Sus scrofa: one gene and its partner. The protein of the gene in region 2 purifies or fractionates together with the protein of the main gene of each other region. This does not show direct contact. Links are inferred from orthologs where the notes say so. Each region holds a gene or a part of one and is shown on either strand. Other genes may lie near its edges.

What was found. The genes of interacting proteins can lie anywhere in the genome.
Region 1: the proteins of SAAL1 (region 2) and SLC27A2 purify together in Homo sapiens (co-immunoprecipitation; 3 studies listed by BioGRID and IntAct, with this or other methods). This does not show direct contact. The link is inferred for Sus scrofa from reciprocal best matches to the Homo sapiens genes SAAL1 and SLC27A2.

The regions. Positions count from the first base shown.
Region 1 is NC_010443.5:121,528,455-121,534,976, forward strand, and holds the end of SLC27A2 (very long-chain acyl-CoA synthetase), read right to left. Parts: intron 4,069-6,522; coding exon 3,938-4,068; intron 2,466-3,937; coding exon 2,289-2,465; 3' UTR 1,995-2,288; downstream 1-1,994. UniProt on the Homo sapiens protein: Mediates the import of long-chain fatty acids (LCFA) into the cell by facilitating their transport across cell membranes, playing an important role in hepatic fatty acid uptake.
Region 2 is NC_010444.4:41,026,523-41,033,035, reverse strand, and holds the start of SAAL1 (protein SAAL1), read right to left. Parts: upstream 4,364-6,513; 5' UTR 4,317-4,363; coding exon 4,185-4,316; intron 2,602-4,184; coding exon 2,488-2,601; intron 1-2,487. UniProt on the Homo sapiens protein: Plays a role in promoting the proliferation of synovial fibroblasts in response to pro-inflammatory stimuli.

The DNA of each region.
Region 1 (6,522 bases), on a different chromosome or scaffold from region 2:
TGTCTCTAAACAATACACTTGAAATCAGAGACCTCTTGAATGATTTACATGAGTATCAATGTGTTAAAAAAAATCCATTTGTGCTTTCAAATGAAGAAGATGATCTGTACAGCTTTCTATGGGCAGAATTTTTGACCCTTTTAAAAGAAAAAAATCAGTTGATTATTGGTCACAAGATGGCTAAATTTTGTTTACACATGTGCAAACCCAGGTATTGAGGATATTGTGCTGGTGCCTCTATCCATTGCAATAGAGCCTTGATTCCTAGCTTGAACCATGGAGGTTTGGGGGAGTGAGAGACAGAGGAAGCCACTGGGCTGGGAGGGACAGTTTCTAAATGGAAAGTCTAAGATGTGAGTCAAAGGTAGTCAGGCCCCAGCAGGTTTTGGTTATTGAAACACTATCGTTCAGGCTAGTGGCGAAAGAGCTGCCCTTTTACCCAAAAAGATAACCCTCGTGACACAGAATGACCTCACTGCTTTAATAGAATCTCTGCTTATGGCTTGACTCACTTTTAACAAGATTCCAAATAGCACAATTGCACAATGTTATACTCTCAAAAGCCAAGGCTGTCCCACCTCCCATCACATGGGTTCACATTCTCAAAGGGAGAGCAATAAATCAAAGCCAGAGAAACCTAGAATTTTGCAAAAATTCCCCATGCTGACTCACAAGCAGAAATTATGCTAAATTATTGGAAAATTCTCAAAGGTGTAGTGACAGAGTTATCCTTAGCTGCTTCTCATGTCCCTCATGCATAGTAAGTGTTCAAGAAATGTTTATTATTGGGTCTAATGAGCAAGGGCAGGGATTCTGGTCACGAGTCTTCTTAGGAGTCACTTCAAAGAGCGGAGAGAGTTTAAAAATATTTCTAACACTATGTTGGGGGTGGGGATGGCCACCCGTCATCATATATCATTGAAGACCCCTGAATACATTTGCCTGGGGCTTTTGGGGGACAAAATTGAGGAGAATTAGAGCTCCTTTGAAGCTCCTGGTCTCTGAGGGTGTTCTTGGGAAGGAAATGTCACCTCCTTTAAGGAGGCTGGGGTGAACTTAACTCACACTTTCTAGATGTGACCTTAGTGCCCTTGATGCTCCTGTGATCTACAACAAGTGATAGTGAGGAACATGTCATCTTGAGGGCCACCACCAAGGACTTGCTCCTGGAACTCTGTATGACTGACCCATGAAGAGCTTAAGGAGTTCCCCTCAGAAAGTCTGTCTGAGAGAGATCCTCAAAGTCCCCAAACCATCCCCTGCCATGCCAAAGGCCCTGCAGTCCCTGAATAGGCTCTCTGGCTGGAGACCGGATGTGGAATGAAACCAGCTCTGGCCTGAGAAGCACTTGGAACTGGGGCTGCTAGTGGGACATCTGGGCCTTTGCTGGTGCACAGGTACATTTTGTTTGGGTTGCATGGACATTACAAAAATTCGAGACTTTACAGATGAAAAATTGGGAGAGTCACATAAATACCTGGATTTCTGTTTTCTGAATAATCAGAGGATTTCTGAAGCACGTGGGCTATATAGCCTCACGGAAATAAGCTGACTGAAGTTGCATAGTGGCTGTCCCCCAAGTTTTCCATAGTCATTTTTGACCTGCTTTTCTCATCCACATCACTAATATGAGTCCTGAAGACGCTTGGATGTGCAACCCTTGATACAGCTAAAAAATATTTACTGAACACCTTTTATGTATAAAACTCTGACGCTCTAGATTTAGGCTCCTTCAGAGACTATCAGCAGCATAATCACTTGCTGGCTAATGCTGTCTGGTCTGCAGACAATGGTCAGGATGCTCTTAGAGGGGGAGGGTTGGCCTTACACTAGAGCTGGACTTCCTACCCTCTCACCTCTCAACTCCTTGCCATTTTTTTCTTAGCATACCATTATCACTGTAAGCAGGACACCTGTGAAAATTACCAGTGAGGCTGTCGGCCTCAGGATTTGCATTTAGAATCAAGTCAGGAAAAAGACAGTGTCATCTCATTTCTTGGTGTTCATCTATTTTATTACATATTTAAAAAAATAACATCCTTCCTCTAACAAGCTTAGTCTGCAAATACAAAGTGTAGATGCCAATTTGAAAAATAATTATCTCTAAATCTTTTCACTTGCAAAGGTTCAGGTGTAATTTAAAAAAGTCTCCCCTTCCTGGTGTGCATAAAAAAATTGCACCTCACAACTGTCAATCAAATTAAAGTTGGATTATATCAAGTGGCTGTACTGGGTAGGTCCCTTCATGTTCTTTCTGGAAATACACTAAGTTATCCTCCTGGTAACATTCAGAGTTTCAGAGCTTTATCATTTATGGCATTGTAAATATCCTCAGTCATAGGCACATACGTTTCTGCTTTATCATCCAAGAAATACAAGGCATCTTTGATAACCGCAGGGTTAAAGCCCTCTTCCACGAGGGTCACTTTTCGGTGTTTAAAAGTTCCAGTGATCTCAATGGTGTCCTGAAAAACACCAAATGGTCATTTGAGAGCTGTGGAAGTGAGTTCTGTGTGATACCAATACAGCCTATCTTCAGAACCTCCACTAGGAGTTCCATCTTGGGGCAGCGGAAATGAATCTGACTAGGAACCATGAGGTTGAGGGTTTGATCCCTGACCCTGCTCAGTGGGTTAAGGGTCCGGCGTTGCTGTGAGCTGTGGTGTAGTTTGCAGACACAGCTTGGATCTGGTGTTTCTGTGCCTCTGGCGTAGGCCAGCGGCAACAGCTCCAATTGGACTCCTAGCCTGGGAACCTCCATGTGTGTGGGTTCTGCCGGCTCAAAAGACAAAAAAGACCAAAAAAAAAAAAAAAGAACCTCCACTAGGGGGCCCTTTGTGGAAGTAGTTTTCCTTCTCTTAAAGCTTTAGGGTCACCTGGGGAGAAGTGAAGCTGACAGTGGAATACAGAGTAGAGAAGTCTGTTGCTTGGTGAGCTTCAGATATCACTGGAATATCCTGATTAACGATGGGGTGGGACTAAGGATCATCTACACACAGACAACTCAGTCTTTTCAGCCTGTTTGTTAGACTGAAGACTGGTTTCTCCTTCAATAAATAGGAGATGATTTGAGGATATTTCAATTTTCATGTCTTTCAACCATCTCATTGTGAAGCAAATGCCAGTGCTTTAAGAACAGCAGCAGGTATAACCATATAACCTTAGCAATATCTGCTAATCTAACACTTCTCAAATCTTCAGCTAAGGTCCAAAAGTGAGAGTATTTAACTAAAGGGTTAATGTTTGAGAAATAAAAAAATCCTATTGCTAATAGTTTAGCCTTTGGTAATTACTACTGGCTAATGATGCCCAGTTAAATTTCACTCCAGAGAAAGGCAGAGGACTTCAGTGGATTTTTCCATTCTTTAAAACTGGAAACAACAAATAAGAAGGTTGGAGCATTTCTGATTGATGTGTCTGTTACACCTCAACAAACAGACTTTGCGAGTTATTAGCTAACACTGTTGCTGAATGAACTGCCTGTCATTTTAGGGAGAAAGGGATTAGGATTTGGTTTCATCTAGCTGTATTTTCTAATATTTCTTTCTTCCTTATTTACTATTATTATTTTTTCTTTTTAGGGTTGCACCCATGCCATATGGAAGTTCTTAGACTAGGGGTAAAATCGGAGCTGCAGCTGTTAGCCTACACCATAGCCACAGCAACGTGAGATCTGAGCCGTGTCTGCAACCTACCCCACAGCTCACCACAACGCTGAATCTTTATAACCCACTGAATGAGGCCGGGGATCAAACCCGCATCCTCATGGATCCTAGTCGGGTTCGTTACCGCTGAGCCAAAGCTCCTTATTGAGCTTCCTGAAAAGGGTAGTGAAAATTTGGCTAATGTGGTCGCCATGGTAGAAGGGGAATTGTTTCCTAAGAGGCAGGGGTCTCCAAAAAGGAGGATAGCTGAACTTGATAACAAGAGGTCTCACCTGTATTCTTAGAAACCGGGGCCTTGCATAATTGGGCAGGTAATCGGCCACATGCTTAAAGAGTTTCTTTCCATCAAATTCATGGTTTTCCTTCATCTTGATTGAGGCCATGCCAATTCGACCTTCGTGACCTAAAGATAAGTGAGAAAAAATTGACTTGTAGCTCTTTATTTTACTTATGATGCTTTGCTAGTTTAAAGAGCGGTGAACTCAGACAGGATTATGGCCTGGGCTTCTTTTGGATAGCTGGAATTTTTATCAAATACATGTGGGGGTTATTCCAGAGTGAATATAATGATAACAACAGCAAAGTAACAGCTTTACATTGACTGAATATTATATGTCAGGCCCTTTACTCAGTGTGTTTTATGTACTATCACATTTAACCCTAACAACCTTATGAAGAGGTACAAATATTATCTCTGTTTTACAGATGAAGAAACTGAGACTTAAGGACACTAAAGCCTTGTTCAACTTCACGTAGCAAATACTAGCAGGGCCAGAAAAGAACTGAGGCAGGCTGTCTCCAGATCCTATGCTTGTCACCATCATCCTTCTTAGCAGCCAAGGTATAAACACCCAAGTGGCAAACAGGTGGAACTAGTGGCTAAGGGAAATTTTTTGATGTTGGTGAATAAGTCTTGCTCCACTGTCATGAATAAATGAGCTCAGCTTGTGCCTGAGTTACAGTTTCAGGTCTGTTGTGCTTCCAGGGACAAACTTCACCTTTGAGACTTACTTATTTAATCATGCTTCCTAATAGCTTTGCCTCTGCATTTCAGAGAAGCTGCAGGACAGGAGGATGAAGGTGAGATCAAGGGTGAGCACTGGATGCTTTCTGTTCCCGGGAGGCTGTGCTCTCCGCAGAGAAAAGAGGGCTGAACAGTTTTCTTCCCTGTCAGGCAGGGCCTTAAGTGGAGAGGTGTTCAGAACAATTACCATTGTTTTCTTGTGAGAACAGTGGTAATTACGTATTAATCTATCTTCTACCTGATCCAGTAGACCCAGTGGGAGTCCGGGTCCACTTCCCTGAACTACTTAACTGTAATCAGAGATGGGGGAGGAGCCGCCCTTGGTCACCTGGGCCCCAGCTTTCGAAATTTCTCCCATGGTGATTGTGTGTTTACCTATAACTCTAAAGAAGGCAGAAAACAAAAGGAAAGTTATAACAAAGGAAATGCATCCTCATTTGGTTTGCCTCTTAGCAGAGAAGCAGGGCACTGGACCCTCTTTCTCTAGAGGTCCCTGGTAGCTGTCTCAAAGGTACTGGACTCGGGAAACTTGAATGTTTCCAATCAGCCCTTTTTAGAATTCAAGCAGAGGCTGATGCAACAGAACTCTTCAGCATCAGTGGCTCCTTGTGCCCTGCACTGGCAGAGGCACTGCCCAGTTGAGAGGTCAATGGGGCTATTGGGGGTCAAGCCTCTGGCCTGACTCCCAGAGGTTGGTTGGGGCTAGTTCAGCTTGAGGTGGAAGGTTCTTGTCTGCAGTAGTTCTGGCCAGGGTTTCTTTGTAGAGTAGTGGATTAGGTCTTTTCATCAGGGCCATCAGGGCTTCACTATTCAATATAGTAGCCATTGGTCACATGTAGCTATTAACATTATAGTTAAACAAAAATGAAAGATTCAATTCCTCAGTTGCAATAGCCACATTTCAAGTGCTCAGTAGCCATCTGGTGGCTTTTGGCTACTTTATTAGACAGTGCAGATATAGAACATTTTCATCATTGTAGAAAATACTGTTGAGGAGTTCCCCTTGTGGCTCAGTGGGTTAAGAACCCAGCTAGCATCCTTGAGGCTGTGGGTTCAACCTCTGGCCTCATACAAGCTGTGGTGTAGGTTGGCAGCTGTAGCTCTGATTCAATCCCTGGCCTGGAAATTTCCATATGCCACTGGTGTGGCCCTAAAAAGAAAAAAGGAAAGCACTATTGATAATATAAAGTTCTAGAGAGTAGTTGGGTAGTTCTGGTGTGACACCCAGAAAAAGTCATCTGTATGTAGTCTAGGCCCAAACCTAGAAGTTCCTTCCTAGTCTGAAGCTGAGATCTGCTCAGCCTTGCTCAGCCTTTAGGAACTGAGAATCACCCTGGTGGACTAATGCCTTACTCTTAGACTTGCCACATTTCTAGGTTGAAAGAGTGGGATTGAGAATCATAGGATCTGAAAGCTAGGGGAGAATTTAGTGTAATCTTTCAGGGCTGTGAGAATTCTCACAGGATCCCGAGTGGACATCCAGCTTCCTTACACGCCCCAGTGGGTAGAATATTGTCTACCTCAGGAGGTGGCCTGTTTTGTTGTTGGTCCCTCTGGTTACAGAAGAGTTCTCAGATTAAACTGTGCTCCCTGGTCATTTCAATCCATCAGTTTTCATTCTGCTCGCCAGAGCAACATGATCACGTCTGCACCCTGTTCTACCTGACGCTCTACCTGAGTGTCTTCCAATCACTGAAACTCATTAGCCTCCTCTTTGTTCTCTGGCTTGTAAACTTTACTGGTTGTTAGACCCACTTGTGAATTAAAAAAAGACACAAAAATTGAGTCCCAAACCCCAGAGGTCTGAGCTTTAAATTGTTTCCCAGATGAGTC
Region 2 (6,513 bases):
AAACTCTTAGAGGAAAACATAGGCCAAACACTCTCTGACATAAACCACAGCAATATCTTCTCAGATCCACCTCCTAGAGTAATGACAATAAAAACAAAAATAAACAAATGGGACTTCATTAAACTTCAAAGTTTCTGCACAGCAAAGGAAACCCTAAACAAAACAAAAAGACAACCCACAGAATGGGAGAAAATATTTGCAAATGAAGACACTGACAAGGGATTAATCTCCAAAATTTATAAACATCTTCTGCAGCTCAATACCGAAAAAAAAAAAAAACCCTGTCAAAAAATGGGCAGAAGATCTAAATAGACAATTCTCTAAAAAAGACATAAAAAGACATACAGATGGCCAAAAAACACATGAAAAGATGTTCAACATCACTAATTATTAGAGAAATGCAAATCAAAACCACTACACGTACCACCTTACACCAGCCAGAATGGCCATCATCAAAAAGTCTACAAACAATAAGGCTGGTAGAGGCCAGCAGCTGCAGCTCCAATTCGACCCCTAGCCCAGGAACCTCCATATGTTGCAGATGTGGTCCTAAAAAGAAAAAAAAAAACAAAAAAACGCTTTGAAACAATTTGATCTTTTCTTTAAAAATCAAACAACATAATGTCCATACATACTTATACAAAGTTCACAGCAGCTTTATCTTGGACAAACTCAAACATCCATCAACAGGTGAACAGATGAATCAATATGATATAAACATATAATGGACTACCACTTAGCAATACAAAGTATTGTTTTTATTTATTTATTTTTTTTTTTTTTGTCTTTTTTTGCTATTTCTTTGGGCCGCTCCCACGCATATGGAGGTTTCCGGGCTAGGGGTCGAATCGGAGCTGTAGCCACTGGCCTATGCCAGAGCCACAGCAACGCGGGATCCGAGCCGCGTCTGAAACCTACACCACAGCTCACGGCAACGCCGGATCCTTAACCCACTGAGCAAGGGCAAGGACCGAACCCGCAACCTCATGTTCCTAGTCGGATTCGTTAACCACTGCGCCACGACGGGAACTCCACAAAGTATTGTTTTTTATAGATAAACTATAGGTAAACAAGAACTTGGATGATACTGATGTTGAGTGAAAGAGCCAGACACCTACAAAAAATTCTTCTTGGAGTTCCCTGGTGGCCTAGTGGGATAAGGATCCAGCATTGTCACTGCTGTAATGCAGGTTTGGTCCCTGGCCCAGGTCTTCCACATGCTGCAGGTGTGGCCAAAAAAAAATTTTTTTTCCCTAATCATATACTTTAAATACAGAGTTTAATACTTCAATTATACTTCAAAATATATGCAGTTTTTTGTGTGTCAATTATATCTCAATAAAGTTGCTCTTAAAAATGACCTCACTCAGTGGGTTAAGGATCCAGTGCTGCCACAAGCTGCAGTATAACTCACAGATGCTGGTCAGATCAAGTGTTGCCAGGGCTGTAGTGTAGGCCCCAGCTACAGCTCCAACTCAAACCTAGCCCAGAGAACTTCCATATGTCACAGATGCGGCTATAAAAAGAAAAAAAAAGTTGAAGACAATAAGTAGCCACTGACGAATTTTAAGACAGAAGAATACAATTAAATCTGTGTTTTAGGAAAAAGAAAACTTGAGTGGCAATGTGGACAGAAGGGAGATGAAAGAGACACAGGATTTTAATTGGGAACCTACAGCAAAAGCCCAGGTTATAAAAATGAGAGAGTATATCAATTAATTTCTTTGTCTCTCTTTTTTCCCCTTCTTTATAGGGCTGCACCTGTGGTACATGGACGTTCCCAGGCTAGAGGCTGAATCAGAGATGTAGCTGCCAGCCTATGCCACAGCCACGCCAGATCTAAGTCACAGCGGCAACCGGCACAGCAGCTTGCAGCAATGTAGGATCCTTAACCCACTGAGCAAGGGCAGGGATGAACCTTCATCTCACAGACACTGTCAGGTTCTTAACCAGCTGAGTCACAAGGGGAACACCCCTTTTCTTATCTGTAAATTAAGGTTACTACCAATATTACAGGCTTACTGTGAAGAGCAAATGGAATATACATGAAAATGCCTTCAAGCTATAGAATACGATACAAACATTAAAATATAACTGCAATTATATACATGTAATTCTTTCTTGTCTCTTTCTTCTAATTTAATTGTGGTGCATCAGTGGTCTCCTAACTCTGAACCTGCTCTCAAATATAAGTGCAGTGTTCTTTTTAGGCAAGTAAGTATGAGACCTTCCCTGGGCTACAAGTATTGCAGCATTCATGAGAACTATCTAAGCGGCCCAAATGTAAGGTCACTCAGATTCTCTACCTTCAAAGACAAAGGTTTAGCATTTATAGCTCCTGGGACCTCATTTCCTGTACCATATATAGGAATAACTACAGGTATTAAAGTTTTTTTCCCAGAGACTTTGGGACTGAACCTTTAAAAAAAAAATCCATTCACTACCTCTTTACCCAACAGTCTTTTCAGTTTCATTTCCAAACCGTACCTCATCCATTGACATATCCCATACTCTGCAAATTTCATTCTCCATTTCTTCATCAAGCTCCATCTGCTGCTCCTCATCATCTGAGCTGGATTTGGTGTTTTCAGGGCTAACAATCTTCAGAAACACAAATGGAGATGAATAAAGGCTGTCCACAGTACTTTTCAAGTAATGATATCCCCAAATCATTTAGAAGTCACAAAGACAGCATCTTCAAAATATCTTCTCTTGTAAAAAGCTTATTTTAAAAAAAATTAGGGAGTTCCCATCATGGCGAGGTGGTTAACGAATTTGACTAGCATCCACGAGGACACAGGTTCAATCCCTGGCCTCGCTCAGTGGTTAAGGATCTGACGTTGCAGTGAGCTGTGGTGTAGGTCACAGACACGGCTCGGATCCTGCATTGCTGTGGCTGTGGTGTAGGCCAGCAGCTACAGCTCCGATTTGCCCCCTAGCCTGAGAACATCCATATGCCGCAGGTGTGGCCCTAAAAAGCAAAAATAATAATAATAATACCCTGGGTACCTTGGGTAAATACTGTTGTTAGGCACTGGGGTAGAAATGCAAAGATGAATAAGATTTAATCCCCTGCTTTCAAATAGTTTAGGATCTAGTGGGGAAAAGACACACAAACTGATACAACAGAAAAGGCAAAGAGATTCAAATGAATTACGGACAAAGAACTGTAAGAATAAAAATGATGGACCAATGACCTAAGTCTGGAAGAAGTCTTCCCAGCTTCTCTTAGGAGGTGATAATGAGGCTAAATCTCTGAGGAGGAAGTGGAGTTTTCATGTGAAGAAGAGAGAAGAGCGTAAGAAGAAAATACAAGAGTTCAGAATCAAGAAAGGGCCTAGCATGTGTGGGGAATGTTGAACAGTTTAGTGTGTCATGGGCAGGTGAATCTGAAAATGTTGCAAAGAGCCCAAGCAAAGAAAGCTGCATTTTTCTCCTGAAGGCAAAGGAAAGTATGATGAGTTCCCAAGGACAACTTTTTTTTTTTTTTTTTTTAATTCTGGCAGCTGTGTAGAAGATGCGCTAGAGAGGACAGTGATTGGAAGTAGGGGAAAAAGTAAGGGAAACATAAGAACGTTCACATTTACTGAGAGGCTCCTGTAAGGCAAACACTATGGTAAGCACTCTATGACCACTATAATATTAGTTCATCTACACATTAACCCTATATAAAATAACATATATGTTATCATCCCACTTTATAGAAACCGAGAAAGAAATCGGCTAGGCGACTTGCTCAAAGTCACACAGGGCAAGCCTCGCTTTTGGTATCTGGGTTGTACGACTTCAAAATCGGCATTTATTCTACAACTTTAAGTCCAAGAGATTTCTCAGTTAGGACCTGGGATTCCAGAATTACAGTGGAATGGCGAGCAAAAACCTAGCAATGTGTTTACATGGTCATGTTTTTTGGAAAATTTGCAAAAGTAAAATATTTTAACTGCAAGCATTCAGCATCCCTGCAATTACAATTCCTTTTGTGTTGGGCGTAACAGGGAGTGGATCCCGGCAGCTTTGGGGTCCGCGGAGACCGCCAGGACGCAAGGGGTGAGACCCAGCCTCTGGGGCCTGGGAAGGGGTCGCCGTGGGGACCGCGGCTCCCAAGGCTGGAGGGGGCCGCCAGAGGCGGGGCGAGAGTCTAGGGGAACGTACGATGAGCCCATGAGAGGCGCGAGTTTCCGCACCTGGATGAGCCTGCTGAGGACGCCGAAGAGCCAGTGCTTACTGTACACGGTGCTGCCAATGCAGTCACCCCCGGCCGCCTCCTCTTTGTCCTCGTCCCCACTGAGCGGCGGCGGCGAAGGGTTTCTGTCCATGACGCCTCTGGCGCGCGGGAGCCGCTCCGGAAGCCGCGGGAGGAGGCGAGAGGCCTCGAGGTGCCAGAGGGCCCGGCGCGGCTCCTGTCACAGCGCCCCCTGTTGCCCGGCACCCTAAGTGCGGCCCAGTACGCCCATCAGGCTAAGGGTCCGCCCAATATGCCCATCAGGCTGGGAAAGACTTGATGGTCCTCAACGCTCTATCCAGGACCTCAGTGCAGTTATTTTCATAATTGTTGTTTGTCACCCTAACTGAACCAGCTACTCCATGTCTCCAGGAGCTCTTAGCTTGATTGGAAGGGACGAGAGTGGAAGGCAGGAAACAGGACAATGACCGGTACAGATGCAAAGCTATCCGCTCTCTGATCTCTGGGCAATATTACCACTCTCATCCGTTTCATTCTTCCCCCAGGTGTGATCGGAACCCTGGGAAAGACGAAAGTCAGCAGTAAGAACGTCAGTATGACAACTCCCTGTACATTCAGTTCCTGCTTCTATTTCGTCGGTTGGTACTCAACCTCAAACCCAGTGCTCCCCTGCACCCCACAGCAAATATTTAATGATACCACTTAACTTTAACGAAATGAAATTTACAGATCATTAACCTACCTCAACACGTAATTTCAATAATTTCAATACGGTTTCCTTACAAAAACCAAAAATAAAATTAATTTAAATAATATGTATGTTAATGTTTTAAATGTTCAGGCACAACTGTGCTAGAAGGCACAATAAAAATCTCCAATTTTGTTCCATATACATTAAAGCACTGTGAGCCCAACATTTGTAAATGCCGAATGACAGAGTTGTGGTTCCATCAGGACCCTGCTTCTCAAAATCATGAACAGATGATGGTAAAATTTCTACTGAATTTAAGTTCCAGTTACACAGCAATAGCACTTGTAGAAGTTCTAAAGTATATTAAAACTGGAGAAAAAACACTCTGTTAGTACATAAAATACAATTGGATCCTTGGCTCAAATAATTATAAACGTTTTTTCATCTTATGTGCAGGGGCAGACCCGAGTTTTGTGGGGCCTGAATTATGCAATTTCACAAGCCCCTTTTAGGGAGAACAGTACAAACGTACAAATATTAAATTAGTTACAATAGGAAATATTTATTTAGAATGAGAAAAAAGAAATCACAGCAAATTACCAATTTTAAGTAGCCAAAAAATACCTTAAAATGAAATTCAGAAAAATATCCAACTGTTTTTATTAATAAGTGGCCTGGCAGACTTCCACAATCCTTTTTCTTTTTTTAATGGACTTTATTTTTGGAGCAGTTTTAGGTTCACAGCAATCATAAGCAGAAGGTACAGAGATTTTTCCATAGAACCCTTGTCACCACTCATGCTTAGCCTCCACCGTTACCAGTATTCCCCATCAGATATAATAAACAACATTTGATACAATGAGGAGTTCCTTTCAGGGCTCAGCATTAATGAACCGGACTAGGATCCATGAGGACATGGATTCGATCCCTGACCTCACTCAGTGGGTTAAGGATCTGATGTTGCTGTGATCTGTGGTGTAGGTTGCAGACGCGGCTCAAATCCCACGTTGTTGTGGCTGTGGTGTAGGGCGGCAGCTGTAGCTCTGATTCAACCCCTAGCCTGGGAACCTACAAATGCTGTGGGTGTGTCCCTAAAAAGACAAAAAAAAAAAGGCAACAGTTGATACAATGCATGAACCTACATTGGTGCATCATTTTCACCAGAGTCCGTAGTTTACATTAGGGTTCGCTCAGTGTTGTACATTCTATGATCTAGCAAATTCATAGTGGCATATATCCACCGTATAGTATCACAGAGAATAGTTAGTTTCACTGATGTAAAAATCCACTGTGCTCTGCCTATTTACAATCTTTTTTAAATATAATTTTTGCTGAGATTGCTTTAACCATCTTTTTCTATGACAAGGACCTTGTAAGATGATTTTCTATAACAAAAAATAGGTAATTTGTCTTTAGCATAGTTGTTTAAATTTTTTGAAATTATTATTGTTAGCTGAAAGTTTCTTTCACAACTTGTTATTGGTAATATTATGTAAAGTTTTGCTGCTTATATTTTCCTTTGATTTTCATAGTGTCAAATATTCCTATCTTCCTAGAAAGGATGGAGGAGTATTTTCTCTTTTACTTTGCAGAATTGTTTCTACAAAAAAAAATTTTGCTTTTTTGAAGGGTTAAATTT